Linked DNA regions of Macaca mulatta. The protein of the gene in region 1 interacts with the protein of each later gene in a biochemical or structural test. Links are inferred from orthologs where the notes say so. Each region holds a gene or a part of one and is shown in the gene's direction. Other genes may lie near its edges.

Evidence for each region.
Region 2: the proteins of EEA1 (region 1) and RAB31 form a complex in vitro, tested with the Homo sapiens proteins (2 studies listed by BioGRID). The link is inferred for Macaca mulatta from reciprocal best matches to the Homo sapiens genes EEA1 and RAB31.
Region 3: the proteins of EEA1 (region 1) and RAB5C form a complex in vitro, tested with the Homo sapiens proteins (2 studies listed by BioGRID and IntAct, with this or other methods). The link is inferred for Macaca mulatta from reciprocal best matches to the Homo sapiens genes EEA1 and RAB5C.

What each region holds. Positions count from the first base shown.
Region 1 is NC_133416.1:100,135,068-100,145,039, reverse strand, and holds part of EEA1 (early endosome antigen 1), read left to right. Parts: intron 1-2,176; coding exon 2,177-2,515; intron 2,516-6,578; coding exon 6,579-6,728; intron 6,729-8,322; coding exon 8,323-8,442; intron 8,443-9,972. UniProt on the Homo sapiens protein: Binds phospholipid vesicles containing phosphatidylinositol 3-phosphate and participates in endosomal trafficking.
Region 2 is NC_133423.1:80,671,500-80,682,197, forward strand, and holds the start of RAB31 (ras-related protein Rab-31), read left to right. Parts: upstream 1-4,992; coding exon 4,993-5,031; coding exon of another isoform or gene 5,032-5,121; exon of another isoform or gene 5,122-7,921; intron 7,922-10,698. Other genes in the region: uncharacterized protein LOC114675567, read right to left, coding at 4,549-5,121. UniProt on the Homo sapiens protein: The small GTPases Rab are key regulators of intracellular membrane trafficking, from the formation of transport vesicles to their fusion with membranes.
Region 3 is NC_133421.1:66,489,179-66,499,886, reverse strand, and holds the start of RAB5C (ras-related protein Rab-5C), read left to right. Parts: upstream 1-4,180; 5' UTR 4,181-4,297; intron 4,298-10,708. UniProt on the Homo sapiens protein: The small GTPases Rab are key regulators of intracellular membrane trafficking, from the formation of transport vesicles to their fusion with membranes.

The sequences.
Region 1 (9,972 bases):
AAGTCTGTGAGGAAGAAGACTCTAACTCATTATGAGCCTTAATTTTTGTAGCATATTTTAAAAGGTATGTTCCACCCAAGTTCTCAGTGTGTATGAACATGGTTGCATTTATGAAATTCAGTAACTTAGAATTCTCTTTAAAAAAGATTATTTATAGATTAATAAATAGACTTAATTTGCTTACAAACTCTAAAACAAATGTTGTTTTCCTAAATAAAGGTAGAATTATGTCAAGAAAAATTTGGAATTACAAAGAAATTTTTATAAAAAGACAATTTTTCTAACATATAGTTGAATCAGAAGTGTTATTTTTTTCTGTAATTTTCTTGGCTTTGTGTCTTTTTTTCTGTTTTTGTTGCTTGGTCAAGGCACACATCTTTTAGCTAATTTTGCTGTAAACTTAGTGTTTGCTCTTCTTACTTTTAAGTCTGTCTGTCATCCTCTCTTATACATATTCTTTTTTTTTCTTGTTTTTGTGACAGGGTCTTGCTCTTGTTGCCCAGGCTGGAGTGCAGTGGCGTGATCTTAGCTCACTGCAGCCTTTAACTCTTGGGCCCAAGCATACCTCCTGCTTTAGCCTCTCAAGTAGTTAGGTCATACCGCCATGCCTGGCTAATTTTTTTTTCTTTTGTTAGAGATAGGGTCTTGCTGTATTGCCCAGGCTGATCTTTAACTCTTGACCTCAAGTAATCTTTCTGTCTCAGCCTTACAGAGTGCTGGGATTACAGCTGTGAGCTGCTGCACCTGGCCTCTGTTATATATACTTTTATCATCTTTCCGGACACTGCTTTTCCGTAGTATATTCCTGTTTGATAATTAACATTAGCTTATTTTTTCTTAGACAAATGTTCGAGAACCTTTATTCCTGCGTTTCCCATGTTGGGGAATGCAACAATAAAGATCTATTATCTATTATCCCCTGTCAGATAATAGGGTTTTGCTGTCACCCCACCTGAAACTTGTTTGCCTTTTCCTTCGTGTCTTATACATTTATATAGAGCAGATGGCATGTATCATGTGTATGTATTACATGATTTTTCCCATCGCTTTTGAAACCAGGCTCAAACTTCATGGTATTTAGATGATCTTACTAGTTAGCTCCCCTTGACTTTGCTCATTTTTTAAAAAAACTGTGCCTTAAGAAATTTGACATACTTTTCTATTAGTCAATTCTGACTCGTGCATTATGTTTTAACTTTCTTAGAAAGGTTTTTTTTGTTGTTGTTGTTGTTTTGTTGTGTGATTTCATTTAGAGTATATTCTGTTTAAGGTATGAAGGCTTTGATTGGTCTCTCCTATTTCAGTATCATCCCCTTCCAGCACACTGCATATTAGTTTGTACACTAAAGGTCCACTAACTGACTCACCAGGTACTTACAATAGCTTCTTATCCTGGCTGGATGTCTTACAGAATTTAGTTAAAATTCTGATCCATATTTTATGCTTAAATATGTTTACTTTAAAGTTTAGTGTTAATTTTTACAACCCCACTGAGACTAGGCTTTGACATTAGATTAGGTTGGTTGTTCCAGGTCTTTGATTAGAAGTGTTATTTTTATGTTTTATACTTGATAGCATTGAGTAAAATGACAAAATTTAAGGCAGGTGTGTGATAGCTTTAGATCATTTTTTAATACACCTAGAAAAAAATTTGAATTAGTCTTAGCTTGTGACTCTAAAACTTGGTCTTTAACAAGAAGAGCATAAAACGATGCAATCAATAGGTTAGGTGCATTATAACAGTGGATGATACTGCTGCGCTAAAGCTCTTACCAACTATGAAACTGCACAGTGAAAAATCAAATTTTGCATAGTATATTGTTACTCAAAATAATTTGTTGGTAGAAAGGTAGTTTCAATTTTTAACTCAAATGGAAGAATATAAATATGTCACATACCCTTAAAAATCCAGTAGATTTTATTATTTTTATTTTATGTCAACACTTGCTTGGAAATTCTTAAGTTGTATTAGTAGAGTTTAGTCAAGTGGACCAATACTGAAATCACGAATTAGTATGTAATGATTTAATTCTTGACTAGAACATTGTCACTGTTTTATATTTTAATATTGACTAAAATGTATACTAGGAGACAGTACTGCTCCAAAGATTGTTCGAATAATTGGAGTAATTTAAAATATTAGAAAAGGAAATAAATTGTTAAATTGATATTTTAGACGTTGACAGAGAACTTGCTGAAAAAAGAACAAGACTATACTAAGTTAGAGGAGAAACATAATGAAGAATCTGTGAGTAAAAAGAATATTCAGGCAACCCTTCATCAAAAAGACCTAGATTGTCAGCAGCTTCAGTCAAGATTGTCTGTATCTGAAACCTCACTGCATAGAATACATGCAGAACTAAGTGAAAAAGGAGAAGCTACTCAAAAGCTCAAAGAAGAATTATCTGAGGTAGAGACCAAGTACCAGCATCTAAAGGCGGAGTTTAAGCAGCTACAACAACAGAGAGAAGAAAAAGAGCAGCATGGGTTACAACTCCAAAGTGAAATTAATCAAGTAAGAGCTGTTAATTTTATTTATTGTAATTCTCCCTCTGGTTTCTTCTTCATGTTCTTGATGGTTATTTGATCATAATATAGTTCATGTTGAAAAAATATTGTCATTTTAAAAGATTAACTCTTAACTTTTATATCCTGTAGTGTTGTCAGATCTCATTTCTTTTAATTTCCGTTTCCCTTAAGAAAAAAAATTATAATATCTATTTTACAGCTTTGTGGGGAATTGTTTATGAATTGATATTATAAATTGCTTAGGATGGTACCTGGGGCATGTAGGTACTCACAAGGTTTTAGCTATTATAATTAATTTAAATTGTTGACCATTCTTTCATTTGAAATTTTTTTGTTACAAAATTTTAAAAGCATCATTATTATAAAACAAGCAGCATACAGATTATTTTTTTAAAATCATGTGTTTTAGGGAAAATTTTTTTTGAAAATAAATAAAAATTAGATATTTCATAGAAAGTAAATCAGCCCTAATGCTGCAGCTATTTTCTATAGGTAAATAATACATGAATTACATATATATAGAATATATAATATATATTGTATATTTATGAATATAATATATATTATATATTTATGAATATAAATATATATTTATATAGTGTATATATATACAATATATCATATGATATTCATGTCATATATTGATATATATAATTCATATATTATTTACCTATATGGCTTATATTTTGAACTATATTATTTACCTATACAAAAGTATTTTGTATAGGTTAGTCTAGCTTAAAGGCACAAAGTATTTTGTATAGGTTAATAATATAGTGGCTATCAGATGAAGTTTAATACAAGTTTTGACTTTGCCATTAACTTAATTTTTTGCCTGTGTTCTAATTATTGCGTTAGGTAACATTGAAAATTGGTTGAAAATGGAAATTGGGGGATATTCAAGTCTTCAGCTACTTTTTTGATAATGTTCAGCTGTTTTTCTAAAATGGCAGTGATACTTTATTTTACTATAATTAATAATTTTCATGGCTTTCTATCCTTTAGTAATAATAATAATAATGATTATGTTAGTAATTTAATGAGCTTCAGTTATATTTCAGAAATTAGAGTAAGCACTTCACATATGCTAATACTAATTTTTGAGTTTGGACTGTGAGTTCCATGATACAGTGAATCAGAAGAGTTAAAAATATTTCTGTAACATGTGTTCTCCTTCCCTGTTTCTGCTAGCCCTGTCCTCCTTGTTTCACTCTTAAACCACTCTAACAACTGCAAACTAATCTGCCTTCCTACTTGCCCCTGACAAACTGATCCTTTATATAGGCATCAGAGTAATCTATATTAAAGGCAAATCTTACCATGTTCCAACCATGCTTTAAGCCCATTAATAACTCTTTATGACCTAATGGATTAAGTTGAGGTCTCTTGTTGTAACATGCAGTATCCATACTGGTCTTGTTGGCCTTCCTCCTCAGCAATTTACCCTTCTTTTCCTTATTCTTCACTGCAAGAATACGGAAGTGTCTTTAGTTTTTTCCTATATGTTGTGCTGTGTCTTGCTTTTGTTGTATCATTCAGTCTGCCTTCTTGACCTGAAATATTCTTTTCATTCTTCTTCACCTTGATAGATACTATTTACTTCACTTGTCACTTTTTATAATTTTTTTTTAAAGAACAAGATCATGTTCTTTATAGCAACATGGATGGAGTTGGAGGCCATTGTCCTAAGTGAACTAATATAGGAACAGAAAATCAAATACCACATGTTCTCTCTTAAAAGTGGAAGCTAAATATTAAGTACATATGGACACAAAGAAGGGAACAACAGATGGCCAGGCCTGCTTGAGGGTGGAAGGTGGGAGGAGGGTGAGGACCGAAAAACTACCTATTGGGTACTGTGTTTATTACCTAGGTAATGAAATAACCTGTACACCAAACCTCTGTGACATGTAATTTACCTATATAACAAACCTGCACATGTACCCCTGAACCTAAAATAGAAGTTAAAGATTTGAAAAAATTTAAGAAATACATTTAGAGGGTACAAGTGCAGATTTCTTGCATGTATATATTATGTAATGGTGAAGTCTGGACTGTTAGTGTACCCATTGCCCATATAGTAACCATTGTACCCAACAGGTAATTTTTCAACCCTCACTCGCCCCCCTCCCAGCACTCTCCCTAGAAATCCTTTCTAAACATGCCACTGCTTCCCCACACTCAAGATAGCTTAAGCATGTACATATCTTTAATATTTTACTTATACCATAATATAGTTTATCATAATTTATGTCTTTCTTTACTAGACTCTGAACTCTTTGGGTGCAAAGACCATGTCTTATTCATTTTTTATTTTTACTACCTGGCATTTTACTTGGTTTTTTTTTGTTGTTGTTGTTTTGTTTGTTTTTTTTTGAAGACAGAGTTTCACTTTGTCACCCAAGCTGGAGTGCAGTGGCATGATCTCGGCTCATTACAGCCTCCATCTTCCGGGTCCAAGCAGTTCTCATGCCTCAGCCTCCTGAGTAGCTGGGACTTCAGGCATATGCTACCACACCCAACTGATTTTTTGTGTTTTAGTAGATACGGGGTTTCACCACATTGCCCAGGCTGGTCTCGAACTCCTGAGCTCAGGCAATCCACCTTCCTCAGCCTCCCAAAGTGCTAGGATTACAATTGTGTGCCACCGTGTCCACTCAGCATTTTGATTGTTAATCTGCTTATGTTTTAGTGAGTGAATGAATGAATAAATGTAAGCATTCATAATGGAAGGAAACTGAGCCATGGCGATATCAATGAATAACTTAAACTAACTTACATATTTGAGTTTTAGTTCAGATAAACAAATTTAGCATTTTTGCTTTCTTTTTTCCTTTTTCTTTTTCTTTTTTGAGATGGAATCTCGCTTTGTCTCTGCTGGAGTGCAGTGGCAAGATTTCAGCTCACTGCAACCTCCGCTTCCCGGATTCAAGCCATTCTCCTGCCTCAGCCTCCTGAGTAGCTGGGATTACAGGCATAAGCCACTGTGCCTGGCAGCATTTATGCTTTCTAAAAGACACATGCCTCATTTACTAGGGGATACAGAAATGAATAAGAAACAGTACCTACTTTTAATAATTATGTAAATCTTAGGGGAGGATAAGGCAAGTACTATAGATCATACTAAAGATTATGAGAATTATAATAAAAGGATTCCATATATTATGGGAAATTGGAAGAGTTTCTTTCTTCTGTTCCCCCCTGTAGTACTTCAGCTGTTGTAATTTTTTATCCAATTATGTGATCAGGAAATCTTTGTATTAGGGAGAGGTGGTACTTGGAATTGGGAATATCAGATAGGTTTTGACAGGTGGCAGTTTGAAAGCAGATGTGTCTTCCAGCCAGAGGGATTAGTGAGAGCAAACTAGTGGCAGGAAAGTGTTGTAAGAGGCAGGAAGGGACACTGATTTCCTGTTAGGATAGAGTATGTATAACTGGGGTGGACTACTCATGATGGTTCTTAACTGCCTTAGTTTTAATTGGGTGGCATTTGTAAAGTTAATGAATGAAGGTCACTATATATATATATGATCATTTCCTCTATTTTATTTAGAAATTATGTGCCAATATGAGGACTTGGGAATGCACTGGGCAGTATCCAATACCCAAATATAAAACGTTAACTCTAGTAGTTCTTGGCTATGGAAAACCAACAAGAATCACTGTGGAATTTTAAACAATACTGTAGAATAGATCTGAGTGTGTACTAAGTGTCTTAATTTTTAAGTTGTATTTTATTCTTTTAAGTTTCTGAAAATTCCAACACTTATCTCCGAACAAGAGCCTGCATTTGTTTTAAGAGAGCAGTAACATAACACAAAAACAAAAATTGTGATGTTTAACCATAATTGTATGTGATTCATTATAATATATGATTAAAATTCAGTTGCAGTTAAAATTACTATATAAAATCTTAGGTTTCCCCAAAGTATCATGAAAATTAAGATATTGTACTTATTTTGGTGAAAGGTAAAACATTGTTTGGAAAGTAGGTGGTCGTGTGTGTGTGTTTATACATATGTACATACATTTTTTTTCTTTTTTTAAAGTTACATAGCAAACTTCTGGAGACAGAGCGCCAACTAGGGGAAGCTCATGGTAGGCTAAAGGAACAAAGACAGCTTTCAAGTGAAAAGTTGATGGATAAAGAACAACAAGTGGCTGATTTACAACTCAAACTTTCTCGGTTAGAAGAGCAGGTAAGCTAGCATTTATTGATAGGCTTGAGGTATCTTTAACATGATTATGATTCATCAATCTGTTAATTGTCAGAGCTTTAATTGGACTTTAAGTAAAGTGCAAATTTATTACTCTCCAGTAGCAACATCCTGCTTATTAACTACATTAAGTCATTTTGTTGTAATTGTATTTCCTAAAGTTCTCAACAAAAATGCACAAAGAAAACTTACTCTTTCAGCTTTAGGCAGGAAAAATACTGGGGGCGAACCCATCAGGCTGCTAGAGTCTTCCTACTCAGGAAGGACTACTTCCTAATGAAACAGTAAACTATGAATTGTTGGTAAATTCATTAATGACATGTAGTTGGTATATATAAACTTTGAGTTTCCACTTAAGGATTTTTGCTTTTAAAAATTAAGCATGTATTTGAATGCTGTCCCTCATTAGACTTGCAGTTGCTATAAATGATGCCTGTAATATAAAGTAAAAGTTACTAAATTACATCTTTATTGCAATTAAACACATTATTTTTTAGTTTTAAGTTTTTAATTTTTAATTTAATTTTATTTGTTTTTGAGACAGGGTCTCACTCTGTCACCCTGGCTGGAGTGTAGTGGCACAATCTCGGCTCACTGCAACATCCGCCTCTTGGGTTCAAGCAATTATCCCGCCTCAGTCTCCCCAGTAGGGACTACAGATGTGCGCCACTACGCCTGGCTAATATTTGTATTTTTTGGTAGAGATGGAGTTTTACCATGTTGACCAGGCTGGTCTTGAACTCCTGACCTCAAGTGATTTGCCTGCCTCAGCCTCCCAAGGTGCTGAGATTACGGGTGTGAGCCACCATGCCTGGCCGGAATTAAACACATATTCTACAATAAAATCTGCAGCTTCAGCAATAGATTTTCTTCTAGACCTAAAATCTTAGATGTGGTAAATGATCGTATTCTTTTCCAATAAGTGATAATTACAACTATTAAGAAAAAAAATAAAAGAAATACTGATATGTGGTTTAAATTATTGTTACAAATTTATATGTAATTCCTTGATCATACTAGTTTACAAAAAAATTAATAAACTAAATGCCAGCCTGGAGAAAGTTCTTTTAGGATAAGCCTATTTATAGAAAATAGTTTCTTTAACATGAGATTAAGATTCTATAAGTAATGAGGTACTGCTTTTTTTTTTTTTTTTTTGTCGTCCAGGCTGGAGTGCAGTGGTGCAATCTCGGCTCACTGTGACCTCTGCCTCTCGGGTTCAAGTGATTCTCCTGCCTCAGCCTCCCGAGTAGCTGGGACTACAGGTGCCTGCCACCACACCTGGCTAATTTTTGTAGTTTTTTTTTCTTTTTTTAGTAGAGATGGGGTTTCACCATATTGGCCAGGCTGGTTTTGAACTCCTGACCTTGTAATCTACCCGCCTTGTCCTCCCAAAGTGTTGGGATTACAGGTGTAAGCCACTGTGCCCAGCCAAGGTGCCACTGTTAAAGTTTATCTTATATATTACCTGAATTTATTGTTCTGTTCAGACTTCAGAATTGAAGTAATGCCAGATACTTATGAATGATAGCATTATGCCTTTAAGTTCTCAATTGACAATCTGCGTTTTTTTAAGTTGAAGGAAAAAGTTACAAATTCTACAGAATTGCAGCATCAATTAGATAAAACAAAGCAACAGCATCAAGAACAACAGGCTCTTCAGCAAAGCACCACGGCAAAACTTCGAGAAGCTCAGGTAAACATTAGTTGCGTTATTAGCCTTGTAAACAAAAATTAATTACCATTACATAGAATATAAGAGAAAAAATAAAATTAATTAATCCAAATCATTATCCTTTTGTTGTGGTAAAACTAGAAAATACAAAATACTTGATTGTGAGGGATTTTGATAATTTTGAAGTCTGGATAATCAGAAAATTCTTTTTCTTTTGATTACTATGTTGAAACGTTTTTCCAACTTAGTGTAAAATATTAATTATAAACAGATTTATTATGTATTTATTACATTTTATATATTAATTTAATTAAATTTATTAGATTTATCTATTAAATGTGTTTAGTTAAATAAATTTATTTAAATTACTTATAAATAATTTATTCATTATTGTTTCTTATTGATTAAAATACAATATTTGGAAAATCAAAAATGTTCGAATAAAATTTTCTGGCATCGTTAGCCCAGTAAGGAAGAATATTTTGTATTTCCTTCAGTAGAATTTAGTATTTGTTGGTCATTTCTTTTCCTGCTTTATAACCATCATCTGAACATTGGAATTGTAGGTGTAGAAAATATAATTGTTTGGGTTAAATTTATACAAAGTCTGCAGCGTAGCTTAGAATACTGAAAGAAGTTTTCATTTTGTTATGGTAAGGGGAGATTGTCCAAATATTGAAATTAATTTGACTTTGATATGTTTTAATTATTATTATTATTTTTTTTTTTTTTTTGAGGCCAAGTCTCACTGTTTCGCCCAGGCTGGAGCTGGAGTGCAGTGGCGCTATCTCTGCTCACTGCAAGCTCCGCCACCCAGGTTCACACCGTTCTCCTGCCTCAGCCTCCCGAGTAGCTGGGACTGCAGGCGCCCGCCACTGCACCCTGCTAATTTTTTGTGTTTTTAGTGGAGACGGGGTTTCACCAGGATGGTCTCGATCTCCTGACCTCGTGATCCGCCCGCCTCTGCCTCCCAAAGTGCTGGGATTACAGACGTGATCCACCGTGCCCGGCGTTTCACTGTGCTCAGCACTGTGAATAGACAGAGTGCTTGCCCTCTAGGAGATGGCAATCTAATGACATGTATGTAGAAACAATATTGTAGTTTGAGGGAGGCAATAAATAATATGCCCTTTTCTTCTGAGCTTGGAGAGTGGCCTGGGAGTCAGATGAATAGAGATCAAAATACTGGATTCATTTATTTGTTCTTTTATTTAGTTAGTCAAAAAACATTTATTAACCTCTACTCTCAGCCAAGGAACTGATTTTGTGAACTTAGCAGTGAACAAAACAGACAAAAATGTCTGCTCTCATGGAGCTTAGTGAGAGAGGCAACGATAACCAAGGTAAATAGGCAAAATATATAGCATGTTAAATGGTGATAAGTGCTATAAAGATGAAGGAAGGAGGGATGGGGAGTTGGAAGTGTTTTGGGGTGACCAAAGTTGGGACTGCGGTGTTAGGCCTCTTTGAAAAGATGAAAGACCTTAAGGAAGGAGAAGCCTGTGATTCAGAGAGAAGAACATTAGTACGTTAAATGGTGCAGAGGCAGGA
Region 2 (10,698 bases), on another chromosome or scaffold:
CTCAACTTGTACACAAATATTCTTAGAGGCACTTCAGATTAGGGAGAGTCTGTATTAGTTTCTTCCTCATCTAGGGCAGTCTTGGGAATTCAAACAAAACCCAGATTTTCCCCCCATCACAAACACACACACTCACCTACCAGTTGACTAGGTTCAAACTCCAGCCATCCTGAGCATCTTCTCCTTTACTTGGGGGTTGGTTTCAGTTGAATTCAAGGTTTGGAGTCTCTGGAATTTATACTCATTTCTTGAATGAGAAGAGTTACCAAAATGAAGCAACTACACCAAGCCTCAGACATTTCACATCATACAATAGTCTCCCGTTTATATGTTTGTCTCTTTCCTTTACTGCTCGACTTTGGCGTGGGTCCTCTTCCTCCATCGGCCATTCTTCCAGTGTCTAGCACAGTCAGGGTCTGCTACTCGCCGAATGGGTGGGTAAACAGCTAAACACAGAAATCCCTGCAATATAAGAATCGTTGCCAACATCTACAATTAAACCAATTTTTAGTTGATAGCAAATAATGTTATGGTACAAAAAAGTGAAACACAACTCCTTTTAAGAAAAAGAAATCCTAAACTCCATAGTATTTCTCTGAAAAATTGCAAGAAAACTTACATGACTCGCCAGAAGGAACAACCCAAGACAGTCTATGAAACAAAACTGGGGTTGTGGTGACTTTGATCTGCATCATTAATTTAATTTCTCAGTTTTACAAGTAAGCAATGAAAATGAACAGGACTGATTGAATTACATGTTACTTAGGGCTTTTGGGAGGTGGTCACAGCTGAATCAATCCATTTACCTTCCATGGGAGGTGTTAATATATATCTTATTGCTTATTTTCTTTTAACCCAACACTTTAAGCTCAGCCAGAGATCCAAGGGACGGTGGAGGTTGCTGGGCAGGAGTGTCAGTAAAGAGGCCAGTGAGATGCTGAAGATGGCTTAAGCTGCCCAGTGCTAGCACTCAGGAATCTGAAAAATTTAAACACTATCACCTGACACCAATCCTTTGTGAGGTCCCAACAGAGCGTTCCTTGTCTTCAGCGAGAGCTGTCTACTTGTTCTGGAACACTTCTGAGCGCTCCCATTCGAGACGATGGAGACGATGAGGAGGTGAGCCCCCACCCTCCCCGTCTCCCATCTAAGATGTCACCACACTTTCCACAGGAAGAAGACATCTGGAGTTGCAAAAGGAGGATGTGCAGTTTCTATCCGCTTACCTAATAGCCCCTCCACCGAGCAGCCACGTTCCTTGGGGTTCTCAGGAACACTCCCCTTCCCACAGACAGAGGCTGTTTCCAGCCTTCACCCACCAGCTACTGTCTCCTTTTTCTTTTTCTTTTTTTTTTTTTTTGAGACGGAGTCTTGCTCTGTAGCCCGGGCTGGAGTGCAGTGGCCGGATCTCAGCTCACTGCAAGCTCCGCCTCCCGGGTTCACGCCATTCTCCTGCCTCAGCCTACGGAGTAGCTGGGACTGCAGGCGCCCGCCACCTCGCCCGGCTAGTTTTTTGTATTTTTAGTAGAGACGGGGTTTCACCGTGTTAGCCAGGATGGTCTCGATCTCCTGACCTCGTGATCCGCCCGTCTCGGCCTCCCAAAGTGCTGGGATTACAGGCTTGAGCCACCGCGCCCGGCCCTGTCTCCTTTTTCAAGTCTGTGGGTGAACTGTGGGGTCCACTCACCTCTGTTTTTCTAAGTCCCTCAAATCCCTTTCCTACCCTGGTATGTCCAGGATTCATCTCCTCAAAATTGTTTCAAGGGCGCGAGTTATAAATAAGATTACGTAGCACATGCTATTTAGAAAGTTTCAGAAAGAGAAGGAAAGAAGGAAGGAAGAAGGAAGGAAGGAGTTGTTACGTAAATGAGAAATACTGAAAGGCTGTTTAACTGATATTGCAGACACTATAGTTCCATAAAAAAGATAAATTATGAAAAACAAGGGTTGTAAACACTTTTATTTTTCCTTAATTGACTCTTGAGCAGACCAGATGACTCAGTACTGGTCTCCAGGGATCAGCCTGTGCTCCAGGGCGTTGTAACACATTTATATTACTTATCCTATTTAACATTTTGAGTCATATCATTTTCACAGAACCTTATTTACTATAAACGTCTCATAAATCTACATAGTATACACATTTCATTTAATATCTAAGTAACATATACTATTGTACACCATTAAATACACCCAGTAAAGACACCCTAGTTTGCTTAATCATTCCTCAAATGTTAAGAGATTTGAGTTACAATTAATGCAACAATCCTCCCTTTACCTCCATGGAGATAATTTTTTTGTTGTTCTCTAACCCATTTATTTGTTTCTTTGTCTGCATATGTGTTTATACTCAAACCGGCAGCTTTGTTTACTCTTCGTCTTTGTATGTTAATGTTCAACAAAAGATTTCCTGAATCAAAAAACATGGTCAGTTTTATGACCATTCCTGGCTTTTGCTGTTGGAGACTTCATAGCAGCAGAGAAGGGGAGGTCTGAATTAGCACATGACCATTTACGCTACAAAATTCTCATAAGAAAAACTTGCATGTTCTATTTCTTAATTTGATAAATTGTCAGTTATGTACCATCGAATTTTTATCCCTGCTGAAGCTATACCCGAACTCCATATTTGCAGGGAATTCCAGAGGAGTCAGGATGGGCCCTCAGTGCAGTAATCATAGAGTGTAACAATAGAGAACATGGCACTTTTTTAAAAAGTCGAGGGCTACCTCTGACCTGTCACTCCTGAAATATGTCTCCTAGCAGTCATCTTCCTGCCTTCCTGGGCTAGAGCTTTATAGGTTACCTTAGAGTGATCATGGGGACCTGGTTTTCATGAGGCCATGTTTAAGTTCAGGGGTGACCTGGCTGGGGAGAGGGTATAAACCCACGAACACAGGCCAGTTGACAGACTAGGATTGCCACTTTGTAAAGAAGAGCCCAAGGCCTGATCAGAATGAGACACAAATGAGGTCATTTTTAATAGAGCTAGGGGTGGGGAGAAGGACAAATGGACTGGGGCAATTCTCAGGGAGGGAAGGGCTGGATAGGGGACTATTTTGGGAGAGCCTAGAAACCACACAAGCGTCCCAGGCACCCGGGCTAGCGGACAGGAGAGCGGAATGAGAGCAGTCATGAAAAAGGGTAAGGGAACACAAGAGAAATTCGGTTTGCTTATTTTTGTCTGGGCACAGTTTTGCCCTTAGCAACCTAAGGCAATTTCACAAAACTCCACTCAGTGCACAGGATGTAGAACACGGCGGAGGCTTCCACTGTGGTTTGACTGGCTTTTGGGAATCGCGCTGGAAAGCCAAAAGGACACGTTTCAGTGTGGACATCCAAGTCTTAGTGGGTGTCCTGAGGGCAGGCGAAGGCCTTGGGGGAGGTGTCTTTGCAACTGCGTAGCGGTGGTTTTCTGATTAGCAAATCTGAGGGCAGGGAGATACTGTGATCAGGACTGTTTGATTCTGGGCAAGCCTCTTTTCACCCTGCCCACACAGAAGACTCTGCTTTGGATACAAAGTCAAGGACAGATACTGACACAATGGACCTGTAACTTGTGCATGGCTGCCTTTTGAACAATTTAGTCCATTTGAGGAACCTCCACAAGCCTGCACTTCCAGGGCAAAGTTCCTGCTCTTCTGGGGAATTTAATTGTGAATTGTCTGTTTTGGGGCCCATTTTGACTCCAGTATTCCAGGACTTACCTCTTTGGAGGCCTTGATTTGGAATTTCCCATTGGATGGGGTTACTTGGGTATGGGGTAGCTTCAACCTGGCTTCTGTAAGAACAAAGCCAGATGATCACGGTGGGTGGTCTGCTAGGAGAATGGAAATGCCATTGATTAAAATTGAAAGGTTTGGAGAGAGGCCTGAGAGTTTGGGATAGGAGATGAAGTTTTAAAAATATCAGTTTTTTAAAAAAACACTTCCCATCTGAAATGCCAGTGAATTGTCCAGATAGATTACACTGAAAAGGCTGACATTTCTGTAGCAGCCACGAATGAAGTCATCTGAGTGGATGAGGTGCTCTAGGCCATACATGGAGAAGAAAGAGAACACAATTACCCAGGCCTCCCGTGACTGCGTGCGGCCACAGCCTCTGCTCATTTCCTAGTTAGGAAGGATGCGGGGGTCTGCTGGGATCTCCACGTTTCTACCTGTACTTCTGAGGACTGGGTTTCTGCCCACACCAGTTGCAGGATTTGCTCTACTGAGAAAGAGCTTTGCTCCAGAATGCAAGTTTCCTGTTTCAGACACGGACAGCCAGTTTTGCTTCTAGAATCATTTTCAGCTACATACAGAAAAATGAACTTGGCTGAGCTGAAGAGCCACGCGTATGTTAAACGGCAGCTCGGGTATTAGGAACGCCGCGAAGGCAGGCCGAAAAGTCAACCCCCTTCTCCTCACCCCTGTCCTCACAGCGGCCCCTTCAGTGGCCTGACTTTTTCTGCCCGGGACCCAGAATGTCGCTTGAGGATGGGACTAACCCGCAGACCTGCAAGCGCTGCCACGCAAACGGCCTCGGCCAGAGCAGCCGCTTCTCAGCTCAGAATGGCATCTCCAGGGACCCTCTGGCAGTGGGGCCAGGTCTCCACCGGGCCGGTCCCGTCCTTCCTACCCGGGCCCTGCGGCCAGGCGGGGCCGGGAGCGGCGGATGCGGGAGGGCGCCGGGGGAGCCCGGCTCGCGCGGGGCTGGTCCGAGGGCGGAGGCAACCCGCCGGCGACGCCGCAGGTCCCGGGTGGCTGACGCCGTCCGGGGGCGTTCCTGGGAGCTGGGGGCCGGCGAGGCTGGACCCGACGCGCCCGGGAGGAGCCGGCCGGCGGCCACGTGACCCAGCGCGGCGGGGCCGGCGGCCCAGAAATAGCAGCGGCGGCGGTTCCGCCCGCGGGCGGCGCGAGCGAGGAGCCGAGGCGGGAGAAGCCGGCAGGGCGCGGGCGCGGCGGCCCCGGAGGATGCTGCTGAGCCCCGGCCCTGCCCGGCCGCGAGCACATGATGGCTATACGGGAGCTCAAAGTGTGCCTTCTCGGGGTGAGTCCTGGCCGCCCCCCGCCGCGGACCCCGGCCGGCGCCCCCGCGCCCCTTCGCTCCCCTGGTCCCCGCGCGCTCAGACCCCGCCATCCCCTCGCTCTCCGCTCTCCTCTCGCAGCTTCCGTCCCCCTCGTCCGCGCGCCCGCTGGTTCCCCGGGTCCCCCTCGCTCCCCCAGTCCGTGCGCCCCTCGCTCTCCGCACCCCCTCTTGTTCCCCGCCGCCCCCTCGTCCGTGCGCCCCTCCGGTCCGCCCCCGTCTCACCCTGCCGGGGTCCGGGGCCGAGCCTGCCCCGGGCTTTTTCTGCTCTTTCCTCCCGGCCCGCGAGTCCCCGGATCCGCGGCGGCCTCGCGGGGACCCCCGGCGGGGACGGGGCAGTGGCTGCGAGTCTGGGGCCCCGAGGGCTTTCTCCTCCGCCTTTGATAGTTTCCTTCCGGCAGAAAGTTTAAGTTGCTCAGCCAAGTCGCTGAGGACTCTTTTGCCTCCTGGGGCAATTGATTGTTCACTTAAAACACAAAAATAAAACCAAACGCGAGCCCAGCCAAGGGGGTGAAAGCCGAGGGCGCGGCCGGGGTGGAAGGTGAGGCGGTGACCTGTGCGGAGCGCGCCCTGCAAACTTCCCTGCTGCGGATGAAAGCAGCAGGCTGGGAAAGTCCTCCCCACCACCACTTCTCCTAAAGTGGGGCTTTCTCAGCCCGAAGAAGCCTTAAAGCCGCCAGAAACAAAGAGGCAGTCAATCCTTGCGGTCAGGGGACTGCAGACCGGAGACCCGGCCAGGACGCAGGGAGCCGCTGGCGAACCGCCCCTGAGAATTCAGATAAACGTAGGGTCGCTTCCTTTCGGGGGCCCACATCGCATTCCAGAATTCCTTCTTCTAAAAGAAGAGCTGGTTCTAAGGGCGTTTTCAGCAGCCTTTGGCATCTGGTGTACCCGCCCATGTCACTGGCAAAGCTGGTCTCATGAAAACCATTTCCTAAAAAAGAGCAGCGAAAGAGTCGCATTCTTGTGCGAACTGGTCTGTCAAGATGGGGATACAAGAACTGTAGAAAGAGGAAATGATTTCGGTGAGGACTGAACTGTGCCAGCGTCTCTAGGCTTCCTCTAGGCTCTTCTGGAACCTCTGGCAGAACCTTGTTCTGTCCACCGGCTCCCATCACTGGCCTCTGCCAAAACCATCCCTTACCTTAACTCGATTGTCTGGTTGGCCTAGAATTCCAGAGGATCTGGGAAGGCCCTGCCCTCCCTGGTAGGCCCTGGCACAGATCCCCACCTCCCCCGACTTGGTCAGCCACATCCAGGATCTAGCCTGGTCCTTTCCCTGTTGACCTTTTTGTGTGTCTGGAGTGGGTTTTCCTGTTCCCCAGGCCCTCTAATATTTCCAGACGTGAATTCCAGGAATCCCGTGCGTCCCTCTTGAGGGGCCATTTCAGCCTCAGGAAAGGCCTTCAGAGACTTAGAAGGAATGTCGTGTTCCAAGGAATGAAGGGGCAGCCTTGATGTGCGCTGTGTTTGTCAGGATTGGCTTTGGGAAAAATGAAATAAGACATGTTTTTGCCTTTTTTTTCTTAAACTCTTTCTCTTCACTTTTACTGAGGTGGTCCAAGCCCTGCCCTATCACAGGACCCCTTATTTTCAATTTCGGCATTTAGGGACAGGTCTCTATATCCTCCTACCAGGACACTGATCAGGTGGCAAGAACCCTGTGTCAGGAGGCAGGAAACCCAGGCTCTCATTCTTTCCCACCAACGAGCTGTGTCGCTTTAGCAAAGCAACTCAGCGGCCTCATCTATGAAATGGGCATAATAACATGTTCCCCCTTAAGGCAGAGGACTATACCAGATGATCTCCTAAGATACATGCTACCATTTCAGGGTGGCAATTAGCAAACCTGGGAGAGGAGGAAGGTGGAGGAAATCTCTTTACTTCTTTTATCTCCAAGAATGATACACACTCTTTGAGTGGCTTCCTGCAGACAGTGCCTTACCTTTGCCAGTTGTGTGTGTAGGAAATTGAACTTGGAGTTGGAAGAACCATGCCAAAGCAGAGAAAGAATAGGTTTCTGGGCAGACGGAGGCTTTGAAACATCAATCGTGGCTGGTCGCAGTGGCTCACACCTGTAATCCCAGCACTTTGGGAGGCTGAGGTGGGGGGATCATTTGAGGTCAGGAGTTCAAGACCAGCCTGGCCAACATGATGAAACCTGTCTCTACTAAAAATACAAAAAATAACCGAGTGGTAGTGGTTTGTGCTTGTAATCCCAGCTACTTGGGAGGCTGAGCTAGGAGAATCGCTTGAGCCTGGAGGTGGAGGTTGCAGTGAGCTGAAATCGTGCCACTGCACTCCAGTCTGGGCGACAGAGTGAGACCCTATCTGAAAAAAAAAAAAAAAAAAAAAGAAACATCAATCATATCACACCACATCTGTGGCTTCCTTTTTTTTTGAGGGTGGCTGTAAGTTTCAGTTTTATTGAAATCAGAGAACATTTTATTTGAAAAGCCAAATGATCTTATTGTCCACACTGAGTAAGATTTGCCACATCCCCTGGTTTGGCTGGCTCTTTCCCCGGTGAGATGTGTGCAGCAGGCTGTGTTTCTAGCTGCTCATCCAATTAGGCTGGTTCTCTGGGTGGGATAACATTTGAGGTAGATCAAAGCCATTTAACTGTCTTCGGTTTACTCTCTTCTCTCTCTCTCTCTTTTTTTATTTGTTTTGAGACAAGGTCACGTTCTGTCACTCAGGCTGGAGTACAGTGGTGCCATCATAGCTCACTGCACCCTCCAACTCCTGGGCTCAGTGGATCCTTCTGCATCGGCTTAGGTTTATTCTCTTGATTCCAGAGACCCTGTGGATCAGTTAGTGCTAAGTCCAAAAGTCCTTAAAAAAATATGTATATTTTTGAGATAGAGTCTCACTCTGTTGCCCAGGCCGGAGTGCAATGGTGCCATCATGGCTCACTGCAGCCTCAACCTCCCAAGCTCAGGTGATCCTCCCACCTCAGCCTCCCAAGTAGCTGGGACCATAGGTGTGCACCACCCACCCAGCTAATACTTTTTATTATTTTTGTAGAGATGGGGTCTCCCTGTGTTGCGCAGGCTCTTTCAACATTTTAACAGGAATTGGGCTCGTTTGTTCTTTGCATAGGGAGGTCTGTCTTTTCTGGGTGAAGTTTTATGTGTTGCCGGCACTCAGCTTCCTGTTTTTTAGCCATGAGACACCTCCCTGAAGTCTTGGTATGACCAAGACCCCGACAGCCACACCTTCTTTCTCCCTGTTAGAATCACTGTCTGTTGGGTTTCCCTTAGAAGGTGACAGAGAACATAGACTTCGTAACAAAATCTCACTGTCACTGGGAAGGCTGAGGGGTTGGTCTTTTTGTGCCTGGTCCTGTGCTCAGTGAGGACGTGGGGACATGCTTCCCATATAAGGTATAGGTTGTTTTAGGCATGGGCAGTGGGAACTTTCAGCAGAGGCTCCCTACTGGTCACTGTTTGCTGTAGTTTCCTGCTCCATCCATGGGGTCGGAGGTCTTACCTCCTGACATTAGAGTCATTTGCAGCAGGTGGGAGTGAAAGTGGGCCGGTGCCAGGTCTTCTTCACCTGAACTTCATCTGTTTTCCTGGCATGCTAGGAATGTTCGAGCTTATTTCTTTTGGTGAATGCTCCCACATGGGATGGACAATGGCCTGTGGAACATTCTCTGAATGCTTTGTGTTCTTGGAAGACCAAGGACTGGAGAGCACTGGGTTTGTTTAGGTTACCTCTTATAAATTCTTGGCTCGCATCTCATGTGTGGACTTTCTCGGGTTCATTCCACATGGGGACAGCCCAGCAAGCCTTTGTGAATGCCCTTTCCTGGCCTGAGCCCAGTCACCTGTGGAAGTCAGCCTTGCAGGAGGGTGTGCTTGATGGGGGAAGCACCCTGGGCAGGACCCTATAAGCTTCCTTCTTACCAGGAAAGTGTCATTCATCCCACTTTGTGATCTGAACCGGTGTTATGAAACATGAAGCTTAAAGGCAACACCCTTTAAAACAGCAAAGTATGTTAACAACAACAACAAAAAAAACCTAACAAAAACAACACTGAGGCAGCAGCTGCTTCAACCCCAAAGGTGGAAAGTTTCCCAGTATGCATTTTTAACACACATCACCACGTGGCAAGAAGCAGGAGGAAGGCAGAGAGTGGGGAGGAGGAGAAAGAGAAGGAGGGGACCTTTGTTTTGTTATTTCCTTGGGGTATTTGTGCGCGTGCACTTAAAAACTGCTTCCTGATGGAATCCCAAAGAGATTTATATTTGGACTTTGGTTGTCTTGACAACAATTTAGAAATTTCTACCACTTCCTCAATAGCTGAGTGATCAGTTAAAAGAGCCGATGGCTTCCCTGCTTCTGGTAAGGAGCTTGTTGAAGCATCTCCTTGTGATCTTGGAATCTATATGGTGGCTCATCAAAGAGCAGTCAAATACCTGGGATTTGGTGAGACATCTGGGTAATGGGGACTTTATCTATGTCCAAGGCCTTCACATGGGCCTCTTGTCTCCCCAGGGACAGTAGGATGCAAAAGAAGAACAGATTTATATTCATGGTAAGGCAGATCATCAGAACTGCGCAACCTCACATGAGTTGCTTTGAGCGCTATATGAGAGAGTATCCAATAAGGTGATAAGAATTTGTTAGTGTTACTGTGGAAGGAAGGAATGCATAGGATAGTGGGTTGGGCTGGGTAATGATCACATTTGTTTTCCGAGTCTGAGATTCTAGTAACTTACTATTTTTTTTTCCCCCAGAGACTGGCATTTCTTGGGGAGGTGGGATGGTGAGGAGGGTGGAGTGGCTAGCCACAGCATTTATTTCTTGGCACAACTGATTCCTCTATTAAATTGAAGCATTTGTGGAAAGTATGTTCAGCATTGGTGACTCTGGGTAGCTTCTATGTTACATGAGAATAAATATGATATAGTGGGGTATCTTCCCAGCAGTGCCTGGTGTATGGTAACACTGTATCTAATGCACTTATCCCAGGCTGATGGAATCCATCAGGGTCCCTTTGTTCCTCCTTTGTTCAGGGTCAACATTGCTGCTTTCATCCTCCCTCAGCTTTCAGAGCTCAGTGCGTCTCTGGAGTGTGTATCAGAATCATCTGAGGAGCATTTTCAAGCTTCTCATGGTCCTTTTCCCCATCCCTTGTGTCTTAATTTGAGCTGCTGTCACAAAAATACCATAGGCTGGAGGGCTTAAACAATAGACATTTAATTCTCACGGTTCTGGAGGTTGGGAAGTCTAAGACCAAGGTGCTGGCCGATCTAGTGTCTGGTGAGGGCTCGATTTCTGGTTTGCAGACAGCTGCCTTCTTGCTGTAACTTCACATGACTGAGAGAGTGCTCGGTCTCCTTCTCTTCTCATAAGGACACCAACCCCATTCATGAAGGCTCTACCCTCACAACCTAAGCACCTCCCAAATCCTAATATCCTCACTTTGGAGGTTAGGCTTCAAAATGTGAATTTTGGTGGAGGGACACAAACATTAATTCTGTAGTACCTTGTCAGTTGCTTTCAGGCATGTGGCCTCTACTTTTGCCCTGGCCCAATGACACTGTTTTAATGAGCGTGATATATCCCTTAAGTCTGCTCTAAGGCCATAGCCATGAGAAAATAGGAAACTTTACATTTTAA
Region 3 (10,708 bases), on another chromosome or scaffold:
GGCTGGAGAGGCTCACCTCATCCCACAGCCCACACAGGAAACAAACGGATAGCTCCAGATATGTGCTCTTTGGCTCTCACAGCATTATTTTCAAAATATGAGCTAGTTCCAATATTAAAAATGAGATAGGGCCGGGTGCGGTGGCTCACGCCTATAATCCTAGCACTTTGGGTGGCTGAGGTGGGCGGATCACCTGAGGTCGGGAGTTCAAGACCAGCCTGACCAACATGCAGAAACCCCATCTCTACTAAAAATACAAAATTAGCTGGGCGTGGTAGTGCACGCCTGTAATCCCAGCTACTCGGGAGGCTGAGGCAGGAGAATCACTTGAACCCAGGAGGCGGAGGTTGCAGTGAGCCAAGATTGTACCACTGCACTCCAGCCTGGGCGACACAGCGAGACTCTGTCTCAAAAAAAAAAAGAAAGAGGTTATACAGGACTACAGATATTCCAGTTTCTCTTAAAAAAAGTAGCACTGGGCACAGTGGCTCATGCCTGTAATCCCTGTCCTTTGGGAGGCCGAGGTGGGAGGATCGCCTGAGCCCATGAGTTTGAGATCTGCCTTAGCAACATAATGAGACCCGATCTCTATAAAGAGATATATATATATATATGTTTGTTTTTTTTTTTTTCAGACGGAGTCTCGCTCTGTCGCCCAGGCTGGAGTGCAGTGGCACAATCTCAGCTTACTTCAAGCTCCGCCTCCCGGGTTCATGCCATTCTCCTTCCTCAGCCTCCCAAGTAGCTGGGACTACAGGCGCCCGCCACCACACCCGGCTAATTTTTTGTATTTTTAGTAGAGACGGGGTTTCACTGTGTTAACCAGGATGGTCTCGACCTCCTGACCTCATGATCCGCCCACCTCAGCCTCCCAAAGTGCTGGGATTACAAGTGTGAGCCACCATGCCCAGCCTAAAAAAGTATTTTTAAAATTAGCCAGGTGTAGGCTCAGCGTGGTGGCTCATGCCTGTAATCCCCGCACTTTTGGGAGGCCAAGGCGGGCAGATCACCTGAGGTCGGGAGTTTGAGACCAGCCTGGCCAACATGCAGAAACCCCGTCTCTACTAAAAATACAAAAATTAGCTGGGCATGGTGGTGCATGTCTGTAATCCCAGCTACTCGGGAGGCTGAGACAGGAGAATCCCTTGAACCCAGGAGGCGGAGGTTGCAGTGAGCCGAGATCGTGCCATTGCACTCAAGTCTGGGCAACAAGAGTGAAACTCCGCCTCAAAAATAAATAAATAAATAAATAAAAGCCAGGTGTAGTGGTGAGTGCCTGTGGTTCCAGCTACTCCAGAAGCTGAGGTGGGGGGATGACTTGAACCCACGAGTTCAAGACCAGCGTGGGGAACATAGCAAGACACCCCCCCCGCCCATCTCTATAAAAATAAAAAGATTAGCCAGGTGTAGTGGTGTGTGCCTATGATCCCAGCTACTCTGGAGGCTGAGGTGGGAGGATCACCTGAGCCCAGGAGGTTGAAGCTGCAGTGAGCAGTGATCACACCACTGCACTCCAGCCTGGGTGACAGAGTGAGACCCTGTCTCAAACAAACAAACAAAAAAACCTCAGGACATCTGGCTACCATGGGCCAACATTCCATCTGGCAATAATTGGCAATCAGCTGGGGCTGGGTGGCCACTGTCCTCTTTACATGGGATCTGCTCTGCACTCTGCTTCGCTGTCACACGTTTCTTGATCATCTCCCGACACCCGGCTAGCTTCCCTTGTTTGAAATTTTTGTCTGGTCTCTGTGGGTATTTGAGTTCCCAAAACTTGAGTGTCCATCAGAACTACCTGAGATCCTATTAAAATGCAGATTCTGCCAGGCGCGGAGGCTCAAAAAAATAAAAAAATAAAAAGCAGATTGCTGGGCCTCACCCAATTTGGAATGTCAGGGGTGGAGCCCAAGGGTTGAGTGTGCAACCCGTGCCTTACCTAACAGTGTGTTCCCAGGTCCCTGTGCCCAACAGGTGCTTTTTGGGCCCAGTAATGTCTGCTTCTACTCCTAGGCGTGGGTCTGTCACCATCTGTGTTTCTGTCTCTCCGCAGGCTGTCTCTCAAGGTGGTCTCTTGTGCTGCTAGCAACTCAAAAATCCCAACAGCACTCCCTATCCTTCCCCTGACCCCAGACCGCTGCCAAGCCTGTTCTCCCCCATTACAACATGGTCTCACTCAGGGCCTGGACTGCTCCAAAACTCACCCAGGTCTCCAGCTCTCCTCTACCACCCACCACCCTGGGCTCACTTTTGGATAGGAAATAAACTCTTTATTTTTGTAGTTGTTGGCTCTGGGTGTTTCTGGGGGTTAGTCTGAGAGCCCCAGGGCTTTGGAGGAGCCAACACAGCAATCATTCCCCACCCTCACCCCCGCTGCACCCCAGAGCCCTGTTGCTATCTTTAGGAAGGGCAGAGGCACCAGCCAATCTACTTGGCACCACATTCACACCACCAGGGGCCCCAGGGATGAGGGAAAAACTTAATTAGTCACTATGGGCCTATTATACCCGCTTCTCTCCCCTGCACACCAGTCACAGCCATATACACACACAGTATGTGGAAAGGATAGAGTCCTGACTTTGGCCCACCTCCAGCCTTGGAAAGGTGGGCCCAGGGGACTACCCATCCCTCCCATATAAGGAACTGTTCAAGAGCTGGGTATGGCAAGGGGGCTGGGGGAAGAGCTTGTCACCAGCCAGAACCTGCTAGGAATCCCTCTCTGCCCCATCCCCTCTGTCCTCCCAACAAGCCCTCTCTTCCCTCTTCCTTTTCACTTCTCATGATCACTGGCGTGGAAGGGGGTCTTGTGTGTTACGGACGTAAGAAAGAGACGCCCTGGTGACTAGATGGAACTAGATGTGGGCACAGTTTTGTGGCAGGTTGTCCAAGGCAGGTAAATTCTCCAGCTGAGGCTCCAAGATATGTCTGGTGTTGGCCAGTGTTAGAGGCACAGTGGCCACAGCTGTCCCCGGTGAGCTTTGATTCCACACAGGTTTTCAGTAGTGTCCCTGGAGGGTGAGATGCAAAAGAAGAGGAGGTACTGGTCTGTGTTGAGAGGTAAGGGTGGGAGGAATCAGGAGCGGGCCCCATCCATATTGAGACGAGTAGAAGAAACAAATATTCCTGATCCACATGGGGGGGTGCAGAGTGGGGGTGGTTCTAGTCTTTATTTGCGGATGGAGAGGGCCCAGGCAGAGATTGTCCAGCTCTGTATTCCGTGTCAGAGAGAAGAGCTGACCCTGGCTGGGAGCAGGGGAAGGCAGAGGCAGAGATGGTCTTTGTGCCGGCCCCCTGCACCAAGTAGGAGGTGGTGGCAGAAGCTCTCCGTTTGATCTCACCCAGCATCCTGTAGAGAACCCTTCCTACAGCGCTTTCATCGCCTTCCCCATCACAGACGCCCCCAGCAATCGGGCTTCCCAAGCTGACTTGGCCGGAAAGTGCAGACAGGGGCTTCTCCAGATCGGCAAGTTCGAAGGACTGAGGCCTCGCATGCATATTCATTCGCACCATGTTTCTTCTTTCCCAATTCTGCACACATAGTCCTCTGCCTTCTTCCAACGCTCCACCACCCGCCTTCCCTCGGGGCGTCCGGAACCGGCGGTGACCGGGTGGCAGGCTTGGCCTCAAAAAGTTCCCGGCCATAGGCTGGGCGCAGTGGCTCAGGCCTGTAATCTCAGCACTTTGAGAGGCCGAAGAGGGCGGATCACCTGAGGTCAGGAGTTCGAGACTAGCCTGGCCAACATGGTGAAACCCCGTCTCTACTAAAAATACAAAAATTAGCCGGGCGTGGTGGTGCGTGCCTGTAATCCCAGCTACTCGGGAGGCTGAGGCAGGAGAATTGCTTGAACCCGGGAGTCGGAGGTTGCAGTGAGCCGAGATCGCGCCACTGCAATCCAGCCTGGGCGACAGAGTGAGACTCCGTCTCAAAAAAAATAAAAAGTTCCCGGCCGGGCTCGGCCTTGTAGTCAGCCGGCTCCAGCCTAAGCCCAAGTCCCAGGCAGCCACGGACTCCTCCCATCGCCACGAACTACAAGTCCCGCCATCCCTCGCGCGCGCCCTCCCGCCACTCCCGCGTTCCTACCGGCGCCGCTGGGTAGGTCGGCCAAGAGTGCCTCCCATTGGTTTCTCCGCCCTGTCAATCACCAGGGAGTATTGAGGGGCGGGGCGGAGGTAGAGATCCGGATCCGGAGCGGCTGAAAGACGGAAGTGGAGGCCGGAGCCTGGGACACCGCCGGGGGGGGAGAGAAGCAGAGCCCGTCCGAGCCCCGGCCCCAAGTAACGCCGCCGCCCCGGAGCCGCCGTGAGTATTCCTGTCCCAGGACCTGGTGTCTCGCCTGCGTTGAAGCATCTCCAGGGCAGCCCTTCCTCCCGCCCAGCCCCAGTTTAGGGGGATACTGACCCCTCCCCCGACCCGTAGCCCCCTCTTGAGGGGTTCCCCAGGCGTCGGGCCGCAGGAGATGGGGAGCTTCTTTCCTTAGCTTACCTACCTTTCGTGAGCCTTAAGGAAATCGCTATGACTGTCCTCTGGCCTGTCCATTCCAGTTGTGGGAGAGAGGTGCCTAAGTTCCGCTCCCCCTGCTCCCAGAATCGGAGGATCTTTGCCAGGTGTGAAGGAACCTGTCCCTCTTCTCTTTTAGAAGTGACGGAGAGTGCTGTCTGTCGCCGTTTTCCTTCCTGCTGTCCCACAAAACCAGTTGTCCCCTCCAGCCCTAGAGGAATATCTCGATTTCCTTTGGGGGAGGGGGTCGTCTGGGTGAGACCGTTCCACACGCACAGAAGTGTGTTGGCGCTCCCGCAACTCCTTACTTCCTCTCTTTCCTCAAGCCAGAGAACCATCCAGGACCTCAGCAGAGTTTAAAGTTTGGGTCACTTACTGGCAATGAGCTGTTTTCTTGCTTTGCCCCTTCTGTCTCCCAGCCCCTGTTCTCTAGTTATGTTGTTCTCTGAGTGTCTCTCTCTTCCTGACTCTGAAGAATTTAGCTGAGGTTTGCTCAATTCCAGCTATAAATCACAGATCAGGGTGGATGTGCCCATTCATTATCTTCTTTCCCCTCCCCCCTTGCTCCAGGCTCAGCTCTGTCCTCCCACAGCACGTGAGTGGTTTCCAAGCCGCCTCAAAGGGACTGCTGCTTTTGGGACTGCTGTCCGTGTGTCTATAGGGAGGAGAATGAGACCCAAAATGAGGAGTCTGGAATTGAAGGGCTATCTCTTTCTCACTCCCAAACACACACACACACCCCACGCTGAGCAACAGGTCCATGGCACGCCAGGGTCTGTCTCCAGTCCCTTCTGGGCTTGGACTTATTACTGAGGACTAAGTCAAGATCACAATGGCAGTTCAGGATTTTTAACTGTAGCCCAAGGAATTCCCATACATGCCAGAAAGTGCAGGTTCCCTCAAGCATATTGACTATGATCCTTGTCTGTTGCTTGGGGCTTTGGTGTGTGAAATAGCTGCTGTCTCAGACCAAGCTTTGTTATGTGGCCAAAGTACAGGCCGGAGACTGTGCCTTAATGAGGAGTAGCCTGGCTCTGAGGCCATGACCGATCCTTGCTATCTACAGTGAAGGAAGGGACAGAAAACCATGCAGTTTGTGGGAACTTCTGTAGCACTTCAGTGTTCTGGGCTACCTTTACCACCCTTGCGTGCCACTTAAAAGTGCTGTCTTTTGACCTTGAGGTGTGTTTGAGTGCTTCTGGACAGCGGCTAGTGTCTGATTCCTACATTCTTTTGAGTAGACCTAGGATGTACTTATTTCACTTTTTTGTTTGTTTATTTTCTTTTTTTTTTTTTTTTTTTTTTTTTTTGAGACGGAGTCTCGCTCTGTCACCCAGGCTGGAGTGCGGTGGCCGGATCTCAGCTCACTGCAAGCTCCGCCTCCCGGGTTCACGCCATTCTCCTGCCTCAGCCTCCCGAGTAGCTGGGACTACAGGCGCCCGCCACCTCGCCCGGCTAGTTTTTTGTATTTTTTAGTAGAGACGGGGTTTCACCGTGTTAGCCAGGATGGTCTCGATCTCCTGACCTCGTGATCCGCCTGTCTCGGCCTCCCAAAGTGCTGGGATTACAGGCGTGAGCCACCGCGCCCGGCCTGTTTGTTTATTTTCGAGATGGAGTCTTGCTCTATCCTCCAGGCTAGAGGAGTGCAGTGGCGTGATCCCGGCTCACTGCAACCTCTGCCTCCTGGGTTCAAGTGATTCTCCTGCCTCAGCCTCCCAAGTGTCTGGGATTAACAGGCATCCACCACCACGCCCTACTAATTTTTGTATTTTTAGTAGAGAAGGCGTGTCACCATGTTGGCCAGGCTGGTCTTGAACTCCTGACTTCAGGTGATCCACCCGCCTCAGCCCCCCAAAGTGCTGGGATTACAGGTGTGAGTCACTGTGTGCGGCCTACTTACTTCACTTTTTATTGGACAACAGAAGAAGCCTTCGTTATTAGGGTCAACAGCTGGATCACAAGCTCTGTATCTGTGTGGGTTCCTTTGGGGCTCATTGGAGACTTCTTCAGCCAATCTAGTTTCTCTGATCTGGTCAGCCTGGGTATCTGAGCGGCAGGGCCAGAGAGGCCTGACTGCTCACTGGCCATTGGTCTCTGACCAGACTTAGGTCTTCAGGAGTAGAACGTAGTTTGTCACTCTTCATGAGTGCTGGGATGAGGCCGACCAGGCTTCTGAGGAGATCTTCTTTCCTTTATCTGGACATGGTCTCCCAGCTCTGACTCTGAAATGAATTTTTTTTTTTTTTTTAGACAGAGCTTTGTTTGTCGCCCAGGCTGGAGTGCAGTGGCGCAGTCTTGGCTCACTGCAGCCTCCGCCTCCTGAGATCAAGGGATTCTCCTGCCTCAGCCTCCTAAGTAGCTGGGATTATAGGCATGTGCCACCATGCCCAGCTAATTTTTGTATTTTTAGTAGCAGCAGAGTTTCACCATGTTGGTCAGGCTGGTCTGGAACTCCTGACCTCAGGTGATCCACCCACCTCAGCCTCCCAAAGTGCTAGGATTACAGGTGTGAGCCACCACACCCGACCTGAAATGACTTTTGAAGGGGAAGCTCTGCCATTTAGAGAGACGAGGAAGGCCTCAGTGCTTTGGGTAGTTATGCAGCCACTTCTGGCATCCAGAAATTATAGAGTCCAAGGAGAGGTCTCACTCTGCCTAGCAGAAAGAGCGATGGCTCCATGTGCGCCAGAAACCCTTCCTTTCTGATGCTGTTCCTCTCCTGCCCTCTTGCCTCTCACAATTAGTGGACTGTTAAACTGTAGAGGGGCCGTAACACTAAGTTTTTAAAAATCATTTTAAAGTTGCAAAGTTATTTTCATACATATTCCTCATAGGTGCCCTGGGAAATACTGGGATTTGTTTCCCCACTTTGTTTTTAATTTTTATTATTACTTTTTTTTTTTTTGAGTAAGATAAGGCAAATATGTGTCCCTGCTTTAGAGGGGATGCAGAAGGAACTTAAGTAGTTTGCCTGAGATCATACATTTAGAAAGTGGTAGAGCTAGGGCTTGGATTTGGGGTCAGATGTGGCCTGATCTTCTAACAGTGGGCCCTTCTTCCGCCTGGTTTGTTTGTTAAATGAATGAACATGCAGGGTGAGCGCGCCGTGGCACAAGGGCAGACTCTTAACCCTTTAGCCCTCCTCATCACTGGCGCTCCTCTGTTTTCGTTTTCTTCACCAACCTCTACCCAACCTCCTGTCTTCTCTCTTGACCCCCTTCTCCTCTGCCTGTGAGGACCAAGACAGTTAGAAGTCCCAAGTCAGTACTCTTCAGGGCCTGAGAGTTTGCTGACATCTACGTGTCATTAATTTTTTGGGGAACCTGAAAGTCTTAATGGCTAGAAAATGAAAGTCAAAGCGAGTGAACTCAGGGGTCCCACTGGGCAGGGTTAAGGGGGAAGCAGCAGAGCGGGCCTCTGGTTAGTCCTCTGTTTCCCCTGTGCTGCTGCCTGCTGCTTACAAGTGGGAAGAATGCAGCTTGCCACCAGGAGCTCCTGTCACTAGAATTTACATGGAAACAGAGCAAGATCACACATTTAAATTCAGCCCCACCAAGCAAGTACTTCTCAGACCTTCTACTTTTTTTTTTTTTTTTGAGGCGGAATCTCGCTCTGTCGCCAGGCTGGAGTGCAGTGGCGCAATCTTGGCTCACTGCAAGCTCCGCCTCCCAGGTTCATGCCGTTCTCCTGCCTCAGCCTCCCCAGTAGCTGGGACTACAGGTGTCCGCCACCATTCTCGGCTAATTTTTTTGTATTTTTAGTAGAGATGGAGTTTCACCATGTTAGCCAGGATGGTCTCGATCTCCTGACCTTGTGATCCGCCCGCCTCGGCCTCCCAAAGTGCTGGGATTACAGGTGTGAGCCACTGCACCCAGCCAGACCTTCTGCTTCTAGCCCTTGCCCAGTAAACAGGCCGTGTGGTCAGGTGGAAGGCACCAGAACTTCAGAGGCAATTGGACCTGAGTTCTAATCCTGATTTCCCCACTTACCAGTTGTGTGACCTTGGGCTTGTTACTTGACCTCACTGAGCCTATGTTTCTTCTGGTAAAATGGCAACGCTAAATACCTTGCAGAATTAGAAACAAAGAAAGGAGCTAGTCGAGTGCTGGCACAGACTAGATCCCCACAAAACAGCAGTTGCCTCTGATTGGTAGGTAAGGGTTTGAAGGTTCTTTTTTTTTTTTTTTTTTTTTTTTGAGACAGTCTCATTCTGTCGCCCAGGCTCACTGCAACCTCTGCCTCCTAGGTTCGAGTGATTCTCCTGCCTCAGCCTCCTGAGTAGCTGGGATTATAGGCACCCGCCATCATGCCTGGCTGATTTTTTTTTGTATTTTTGTAGAGACGGGGTTTGACCACGTCGACTAGGCTGGTCTCAAACTCCTGACCTCAGGTGAGGTGATCTGCCTGCCTCATTGGCCTCCCAAAGTGCTGGGATTAGAAGCATGAGCCACCGTGCCTGGCCAATTTTTTTTTTTTTTTTTTTTGAGACGGAGTTTCACTCTTGTCTCCCAGGCTGGAGTGCAATGGTGCAATCTTGGCTCACTGCAACCTCTACCTCCTGGGCTCCAGCTATTCTCCTGCCTCAGCCTCCTGAGTAGCTGGGATTACAGGCGTGTGCCACCATGCCAGGCTAATTTTGGTATTTTTAGTAGAGACAGGGTTTCTCCATGTTGGCCAGGCTGGTCTTGAATTCCTGACCTCAGGTAATTGTGCCTAGCCCTCAACACTGATTCTGATTCAACATGTGTACCAAATGTATGCTGAGGCAGGACACAGCAACTCATGCCTGTAATCCCAGCAGTTCGGGAGGATCACTTGATCCCAGGAGTTCAAGACCAGCCTGGAGGCCAGGGGTGGTGGATCACGCCTATAATCCTAGCACTTTGGAAGACTGAGGCAGGCAAATCACCTGAAGTCAGGAGTTCGAGACCAACCTGGCCAACATGGTGAAACCCCATTTCTACTAAAAATACCAAAATTAGTCAGGCGTGGTGGCACATGCCTGTAATCCCAGCTACTCAGGAGGCTGAGGCAGGAACCTGGGAGGCACTTGAACATGGGAAGCGGATGTTGCAGTGAGCTGAGACTGCAGCACTGCACTCCAGCCTAGGCAACAGACCAAGACTCTACCTCAAAAAAAAAAGAAAGAAAGAAAGGAAAAAGACCAGCCTGGGCAGCATAATGAGACCCCATCTCTAAAACGAAAACAAAATGTTTGCTGGGATGCCTTGTACGTTGCTTGATGGTTTCACAAATTGTCTCATTTCGTAGACATTGAACAGAATTGATGTGAGTTGTATTCCAATTTTACAGAAGAGAATGCTGTGCCACTTCAGTCTTACTCAGTTATAAGTGTTTTAATATTAAAACAGTCCTGGAACTATTATAGATTGGAATGCAAAGTTTGCATGAATTGAAGCTAACACAGGAAACTTTCATTAATTAATTAATTAATTTATTTATTTATTTTTGAGACAGGACCTCTCTCACCCAGGCTGGAATGCAGTGGTATGATCACGGCTTACTTCGGCCTTGACCTCCTGGTGCCAAGTGATCCTCCCACCTCAGCCTCCTGAGTAGCTGGGACTATAGGCATGTACCACCATGCCCGGCTAGTTTTTGTATTTTTTTTTTTTTTCTTTTTTTTTGAGACGGAGTCTCACGCTGTTGCCCAGGCTGGAGTGCAGTGGCGCGATCTCGGCTCACTGCAAGCTCCGCCTCCTGGGTTCACGCCATTCTCCTGCCTCAGCCTCCTGAGTAGCTGGGACTACAGGCGCCCGCCACCGCGCCCGGCTAATTTTTTGTATTTTTAGTAGAGACGGGGTTTCACTGTGGTCTCGATCTCCTGACCTTGTGATCCGCCCGCCTCGGCCTCCCAAAGTGCTGGGATTACAGGCTTGAGCCACCGCGCCCGGCGTTTTTGTATTTTTAGGAGAGACAGGGTTTTGCCATGTTGCCCAGGCTGGTCTCAGAATTCCTGGGCTCAAGTGATCCTCCTACTTTGGCCTCCCAAAGTGCTGGGATTATACATCAGCCACTGCGCCCAGCCAAAGACAGCATTTTGGTTGTAGCCAGCTGCTTTGGGTTCGACTCCCAGATTCCTGGGAGTTTCCTCTCCCCTGACTTGAGGGAAGGGTACATATGCTGGGGCTGTTTGAGAAGCACTGCTTTAGGTAGAATTTATAAACTGGGATGTGCCAAAATCCAGGTAAT